Linked DNA regions of Arabidopsis thaliana. The protein of the gene in region 1 interacts with the protein of each later gene in a pairwise test. Each region holds a gene or a part of one and is shown on either strand. Other genes may lie near its edges.

Evidence for each region.
Region 2: the proteins of MYB13 (region 1) and NRPB6B interact in binary tests that used the Arabidopsis thaliana proteins (3 or more experiments, as listed by UniProt).

What each region holds. Positions count from the first base shown.
Region 1 is NC_003070.9:1,887,616-1,891,945, forward strand, and holds MYB13 (myb domain protein 13), read left to right. Parts: upstream 1-1,746; 5' UTR 1,747-1,894; coding exon 1,895-2,027; intron 2,028-2,181; coding exon 2,182-2,311; intron 2,312-2,996; coding exon 2,997-3,474; 3' UTR 3,475-3,661; downstream 3,662-4,330. UniProt on the Arabidopsis thaliana protein: Plays a regulatory role in meristem function. Functions as component of a regulatory network controlling the establishment and/or development of the shoot system by the regulation of apical meristem function. May play a role in tolerance to boric acid.
Region 2 is NC_003071.7:1,618,028-1,622,071, forward strand, and holds NRPB6B (RNA polymerase Rpb6), read right to left. Parts: upstream 2,353-4,044; 5' UTR 2,220-2,352; coding exon 2,182-2,219; intron 1,895-2,181; coding exon 1,861-1,894; intron 1,781-1,860; coding exon 1,608-1,780; intron 1,522-1,607; coding exon 1,470-1,521; intron 1,370-1,469; coding exon 1,302-1,369; intron 1,211-1,301; coding exon 1,141-1,210; 3' UTR 764-1,140; downstream 1-763. Other genes in the region: AT2G04650 (ADP-glucose pyrophosphorylase family protein), read right to left, coding at 3,959-4,044. UniProt on the Arabidopsis thaliana protein: DNA-dependent RNA polymerase catalyzes the transcription of DNA into RNA using the four ribonucleoside triphosphates as substrates. Component of RNA polymerase II which synthesizes mRNA precursors and many functional non-coding RNAs.

The DNA.
Region 1 (4,330 bases):
GATTTTTTCGCATTGTCTTTTGGAAAAATAGCAGAGTTTTTTAAAAAATAAATAAGAAACGATACATTCAAAAAATATTATGTGAAGTTGAGTTTTTTTTTACATATAGAGGAAATAAAATTGATCATAGTCATAGACATAGAAATTTGTCAGTGGAATCTTTTCTATTAGGTCAAACAAGATTCAACTTTTAACATTTTATCTAGGACTTCTGAATTCTGATATACAATGATCGATGATATTATAAATAAGATAAAAAGGCTTTATTTGTATTATTTCCTTGTAAAGTAAAGTATTTCTTAATTTCATGTTTGTTGGGTCATGCAAAATATGTTTCCAAGGCAAGGTAGCGGATTTTTTGTGAAGAATATTAGCTGGGTCCCACGTGACACAAAAGCTATGCGGAAAAGGGTGTTTCCGTAAACTCACTTGAAAATTTCTGCTAACCAGTTTTGTCCGGTTAAGTTCATGTTATGTATGTTACAATTTGGGAATTGGGATTCAGTTAAACCGGATCAGCCGAAGACATTATTATATTCGTTTTGTAACTTTTTGTTTAGAGGGTGTCGAGTTAGGTTATCGAGCTGAGCTGTATATAAAAACATCTCAAACAAAGGTGAGGAGGGGATGCATTTGCAAAATGGAATTAAGGGGTGTTTCGTAATCGTGACAGTTACGTTTTTGGTTTCTCTCCTATGAGGCTTATTTTGGGCCTCAACAAGAAGTAGGCGTTTTAACACGTTTCGTCATCTAGAGCCAGATGAGAGGGCCTAAACCCTACCTGTGGCTGGTTATTTATTGCTTTAACTTACCCGACAGATGCGACTCAATTTGAAATATCTCTTTTGGGCCTACTGATCTTATTGACGAGAGGATTCATCACCCTTTTCTTCGGCCACTTGGAAAGATTATATAGATTGTATGTTTTCTCTTTTCATTTTCTATCCTCGTGAAGTTTTTATTTTTATTTTTTTATTCAGATTACGAAAATCTTGAGAAAAAGAATAAGACCCGGTGAGCGAAAGGAATGTGTGGCGATGGCGATGCCTACACAGCCGTGAAGCCGAGTCATCGATTATAAAATGAGATGTGTCGATGATAACATTGCTAGTATAATTCTTGGTGTGGTCCATTATTTGATAAATTTATGGTATGCGTCCCTCATGGGAAGTGTGATAAGATTAAACCTAGTGTTCGATATAAAATTTCAAATTTTGTGTCTTAGCCATTCTATTGAATTTTAAACTACGGTCAGATTGAAGCTTACATATATTTGATGTAAAACATAAAAATATGTGGCTGTTACTCGTACACATTTATGGTTATATAAATGAATAGTCTCAATCACAGCCGTGCTCTGTAGTTGTCAGGTATTCGTGTGGTTTGAAGTATAACATTGTCAACTATTTGTATAAAGTTTCTCTATACTATTAGTTCCATGATCTAGTTATATATACAAGTCATATCAGTTTACACTAAACCACTCGACACTCATTGATAATCGCATACCGTTACTACAAAACTAAATTCACCTTCATTGCTTATTAAAATCAAATCATCACAATAGCTGATAGATCGTGGCCTTAGCATTTCCTCGGTAAGACTTATGAAAAAATTAAGATAACTATTCTTTGAAAAAGGTAAAGGAAAAGAAGTTGGGAAAACTTTGGCCTTTGTGTACCAAAAGTAGAAAAATAATTTCCAGCTTGTCATTTTCCTACGGTCCCAATTAATTATATCTCTCTCTATAAATATAGTAACACACTTAGCCATCGTACACTTACTAGTTACTTCCAACATTTGGCTTCCTTTGCTTTCACGAATAGAAACCTTAGCTTCTTCCATTTCTTCTTTCTCTCCTCGTTTAAATTAGTTTTTGACAAGGAAGAAAAAGATGGGGAGAAGACCATGCTGTGAGAAGATAGGATTGAAGAAAGGGCCATGGAGTGCTGAAGAAGATCGAATCTTGATCAATTATATTAGTCTCCATGGCCATCCCAATTGGAGAGCTCTCCCTAAACTAGCCGGTAAATAAGCCATTTTATATTTGCTATTTGCCATATGTATATATTAGTAACAAAATAATTTTGTACCTAGCTAGCATGTGTATTATTGTTCTATAGTATATAGTAGTGTATATTTGTTGTGTAAAGTTAATAATGGTGTTTGTGAAATGATTAGGGCTACTTCGGTGCGGAAAAAGTTGCAGGCTTCGTTGGATTAATTATTTGAGACCAGACATCAAACGTGGCAATTTCACTCCTCATGAAGAAGATACTATCATCAGCTTACATCAACTCTTAGGCAACAGGTTTCTCCTCCTTTTCCATTTTCTGTTTTTTTACTTCTTCCTTTGATTATATGCGAAATTTTAGATTTTTTGGTCCTATATTCTTTGAAACCAGAAATTAAACAAGAATTTGAGAAATCACTCACAAATTTTTCTTTATTTTTAATCTTTGAGAAGTCAAATCACAAGTTTTTTTCTTTCTTTTAAAGTAAGTCAATGCAATTTCTGTTTAGTCCATAACTCCATATATATTACAGTGAAAATGATATAATGTTCATTTGTAGATGAAGGATTTTGGGACATCAAATTGTGAAAAGTATCATTATTTTGGAAGTTTAGTTTGTTTTAACTGTGGAGACTAGCTAGCTAGATTACTTCACAATTTTCTCTTTGTATATGTGTTGCTTTTGTCAATATGCGAAATTTTATATCTTTGTGGGGCAGAGAACTGAGAAGATTCCAACCCGTGATTGCCTTTGTCCATTAAATAATTTCAATTTTTTACTTTCCTCTAATTATACTTTTTATTCACTAGTAGACAAAGATAGGCACTGTGATCAGTGTAAGACATGTGCAAATTCTTTTAACCATACGCATGAACTTCAATAACTTTCCTTTTGTTTTACTCGCTCTTTGTTCTCATAACAATGTAGACGACGTATTATGATGATTGATGAGTCATTCATGTGACATTTGTTTTGAGTAGATGGTCTGCGATAGCTGCAAAATTGCCTGGACGAACAGACAACGAAATTAAAAATGTTTGGCACACTCATTTAAAGAAAAGACTCCACCACAGTCAAGATCAAAACAACAAGGAAGATTTCGTCTCTACTACAGCTGCGGAGATGCCAACCTCTCCGCAACAACAATCTAGTAGTAGTGCCGACATTTCAGCAATTACAACATTGGGAAACAACAATGACATCTCCAATAGCAACAAAGACTCCGCGACGTCATCCGAAGATGTTCTTGCAATTATAGATGAGAGCTTTTGGTCAGAAGTGGTATTGATGGACTGTGACATTTCAGGAAATGAGAAGAATGAGAAAAAGATAGAGAATTGGGAGGGCTCACTAGATAGAAACGATAAGGGATATAACCATGACATGGAGTTTTGGTTTGACCATCTCACTAGTAGTAGTTGTATAATTGGAGAAATGTCCGACATTTCTGAGTTTTGATTTGTTTTAGTTAAAGACTTATATATCTTCCTTTGTGACCCACATGAATAAAAGTCGTTTACGTTTCCTATATTAGTCCTCTTTCTATTTATCGTTCTATTACTTTTGGTTAGTTAAAATACAGATCAGGACATATGCTAAATGTTCGTATCATGTTATACATACATATATTATGATTTCTTTTTTCTCTCCCTTTTAATGTAATTTTAAATCTATGGTGATGTCTTGTACTGTAACTTGTTTAGTGGATGGCTAGATTAAAGAAAGTCTATGTTGTTGTTCTAATGGTAGTCGCATATTCCCTTTTTTTCTATGCACAATGAATTTACTATATAAATCACATTTAAAACTCTTATAATTCACTAACAGAACAGTAATGGCTAACCGACAAAAAATATAGTATTTAAGTAGCCATGTGATTATGCTATGGTTTTTCGCACAAAAAAAAGTGATTATGCTATGGTTTTCCGGTCCTAATAGATTTGGAGTTCTCAAACTAATGTATTAATGTGATCCTCAATTGCTCCATGCATGGAAGCAATTGTGGTTTCTAAGCCCAAAATTTAAAAAGAAGAGAAGATGTGAATGCTCGTCAGAAATTGGTTTTGTTTGGCCGTAGCAATTTCTTGTAGTGCGCGATCTTGATTTTACAGATACTGGTTCTTAGCTAATAAATTTAAACCGATATATCTTAAAAAAAAAAAAACCATTACCTAAGAAGCACCATTGGTATTATCGATGATCCAGCGATGAATCCAATATAAGTTATAATAAATTCATCACCATCAACTAAACTAAACTAAACTAAACTAAACTAAGCCAAATAATGGTCCTCAACCAATGAGAAGCACAAAAT
Region 2 (4,044 bases), on another chromosome or scaffold:
TTTACAGGATATTAAAACCGAAAATTAATAAATACTTATGAGAGATTTTAGGAATGATTTCGTTTGAAGTAATGGTGGAGTTAATATATGAGAGATTTTAGGTAATATTTTTGTTAGGTAAATATTTGATTTAACTGTTAGCATAAATTCAGTGGCATTGAGTCGTAAATAAGTTCAAAGTCCAGAATTTATTTGTTAAAATGGCTGCAAAAATGTATATGTAGATGCATTATTTTGTACGTTGTGTATCCCAAGGTCTATTTAACAGTTATTTGCTTTGAGTTTAATGCATTATTCTTCTCTAATCCCTGCATTTTTTTTTTTTTTTTTTTTGGAAAATGGTAAATTAGATTCAAAAAAGATAACGTCGTTACAATTAGTGTATCATATGTTCTATATGAAATAGATTGAAATCAGAAATTAGAATGAACAATTTAGTGATTAACTTCAACTTTGAAGCCAGCGTTGGAAACGCATTTGCTTGTCGATCCATTGTATTAGAGTGGCTGCAGATTTTGGAGATTCATCATGACGTCTTCGATTCCTCTCATGCCAGATGGTGTAAACGGTGGTTTGAAAGATGTATTTCATCAAGAAACATGCTACACTATCCTTGCGTTGGGCCGAGACTATGGTGAGTAGTTGAGTCCAGTCACTTGTATAGTGTTGCTGAAACAATCCTCGAGCAAGCGCTTCACATAGTTTTTAACATTACTATTTCTCAACTTCTTTAAACAACATGCATAATTCTTCTCTAATCTTGCTTTTTGATTTTTAGCATCACTCATTTATGCATCAATCGATCTGACTCTGTGAGACGACAAAAGCTGGGAAGTGTGAGAGAAAAGGTTTATCAATTGAGTTGTACTTACTCAATACTCAAACTATTATAGATGTTTTCTTCTTTTGGTTTCACGAAGGATTTTCTTTCTTTGTATATGTACATGCAGGCTTGTCGAAACCCATGTCCAAAAACAACTTGGGACAAAAAATTTGTTGTTCATGCATTTTTGTTGGAGTCCCTGACTCTTGTAGTGTTGGAGAATAGGACAAATGAAGAAGTTCTACATGCGACTATATCGTAAGTTCATAATCCATACAAGAGCAGAAAGCTTTGCAAAACACATAGGCCAGATTTTATCAATCACCACCGACTTGACGTTTCCACGAGTCTTCGACGATCAGTTCATCAACTCCCCATTCCTCGTAACTGATTCAGAGTCATAAGTAAGTCGCAAGAAAAGAAGATATCAAATTTGAAAGAAGAGCTAAAAGTATTGATATAACTAATGCAATCTCACCTCATATCAGGTAGATAACGTCTAATGGTAAATGGAATCTTCCTTTGCCTAAGCTCTTTCATCGCAATCTTAAGCCAAATCATACAATAAACAACACAAATGTTCATATACATATCAACATTTACTGACAAATCATGAAAAACACAACAAGAAGGAAGAAGGCAACACCTCAAGTGGATCAGTCTCACCCTCCAACTCAACCATAACAGGAGCATTCATGCTGTATCAGCCAACAACAGTACATAGAATCAAACTTTCCGAGCCAACTAAACGGTTAATCAACAAAGATTGTTCTCAGTAGCTGACCTAATCTGCAAAGCACGAGTGCCGAGGATACGTGCACGTTCATACTTAGTCATAAACTTAGAGGTTTTACGTGGGCGTTGCACAGGTTCTGTTTCAACCTTATCTTCTGTTTCCAAAGGGTCAACATTAACATCATCGTTCTCCTTGATATCAGCATCTTCCTCTACTCCTTCCTACTCACACCAACACATTCTAATCAGCCTAGTAATAATAATAAGCAATGTCAATCTCTCTTCTACAAATAATAACTTACTTCGATCTCAGGCTCTGCTGGCTCATCTTCATATCTGCAATTGAAAATCACCACATAACATCAACAATTTGAAATCCGATGTATAAGATTCAAACGAAATTAGGGTTTTCTATCTAAACAATATGAAATTATAATCAATGCTACGATGCCAGAACAATAAGCAAATTTTCAAAAAAGAATCTCGTTGATAGACTCTCAAACTAGACAATAATTGATCCAATTGTTCTCAATCGTTTACGATTCGTCGGGAAGAAGAAGATAGAATCAACTGAAATCGAGTACAAATGATACTAACATAGGAAACAGAGAGGGAGAGATTACCCCAAGTCATCGACTTCATTGTAATCGTCGTCAGCCATTAAAGTCGATTTGAGAAATCGCTCTCCTTGCTCTCTCGATAAAACCCTAACGATCGATGCAACTTAACCGAATGACGGAGAATGCGTAAAGAAGACTCTCTATGAAGTTCGGTTTTTAATTGCCGGTTTTCTTAATGAACCGTCTATTCAGACCGGTTTTAATTTCAAACCCCATTTAAGCCCACATGTATTTTTTTTTTTTCCCCTAACATAGCCCTGGGCATGTGGTATTCGGGTCAGGGTCGGGTCGGATTTTTCGGGTTCGAATTTTTGGGTTTAGAAATTTTGGATCCGTATGGTTATATCAACAATTTCGGGTCGGGTTCGGTTCGGCTTCACTTCGGGTCCGATAATTCAGGTATTAGTTAAAAAAACCATAAGTAACCAAAACTATTTCGGGTTTGAGTACTACTTACCCAAACTTTGTCCAAATATACCCAAACATACATAAAAATATCCATAAAACCCGAAAGATCTGAAATTATAACAAGTTTTTCCTTAAGCCAATAATATAAAACAAGAAGTAAACCTTGTTTTAAGCTTGTTCCATAACTCAAATCATTAAACAAGTCACATTATTAGTGTATATATATCCTCATATGTATATATAGGGCTGGGCAAAAAACGGGACCCGATATCGAACCTGATACCCGAACCGAAAAATCGGGTTGGGGTGGGTTAGGGTTTTAAGAAATTACTTCATTGGGTAAAGTTTTAGTAAACCCGTGGGTATCAGGTCGGTCCGGGGTTTATCCGTTACCCAAACAGGATACCCGAACATAGATTTAATATCAAAAATATTAATTATATTTAATCTTAATATAATGTAATAATCTAAAATTATAATTATAAATCTAAATATATCAATTACTTTTAGATCTAAATACCCAACTATTTAAAAATTATTTGTTATGTTTGTCAAAATTTAGTATAATATATCTAAATCTAATTAAATTATTAAAATTTGTTAATATTTAAGGTTTTTTTTTTGTTGGGTACCCGCTATCTACACATAAAATACCCGTTTTCATTTGTTTGGCTATTCTTAGGGCCTGAAATTCTTTACCCAAGCCGACCCGAACCCGAATGTACCCGAACTAGACCGAAATCGAAAATTTTCATTTTACCCTATTGGGTAGTAAATCCATTACCCATTTAACCCGAACCCGAACGGGTTTTACCCGAATCCGAACGGGTTACCCATATGCGCAGCCCTATGTATATATATGTTCGGGTAATAAAAAGTACCCACGGGTATCGGGTTCAGTTCGGGTAATTTCCGGTACCCACGGTTATTTGAAAACAGAACCCGATCAAGTAATTAGCCGGAACCGAAGTAGAACGGGTTTGGTTATTTCGAGTCAAGTTCAGTTCGGTTCTTCGGGTTCCGGTATTATGTCCGGGCCTACCCCCACAAACGAAGTCAAGATAAACAATTTTTCTAGTGAGCAATTTGCACAAAAGAAAGGAGCCTAAGGAGGTATTGAACACTAGTGATTACACAATCAAGAAGCAAAACTTCTTTGATTCCTTGTTATCTTAGATCTTTTAAAACTCTTTCTTCTAAAATCTTTTTAGTATCTAAACACAAAGTACAGTGAGAGTTTACAAATCTTCCATAGTTTCACTTACTCAAAATCTAATCCTGTGAACTCAATTCATGTAATACACAATTCTGTAAAAGTTTCTCTGTTTCAATTAAAAAGAAAAAAAATCCAAACGATAATCATTGTGATAAATCACAAGATGATATCATCTTGAACACTAACATTAAGAGTCTTATTCTGGAGAACAATGCTTCCTATGACTGCTACTTCATCTTCCA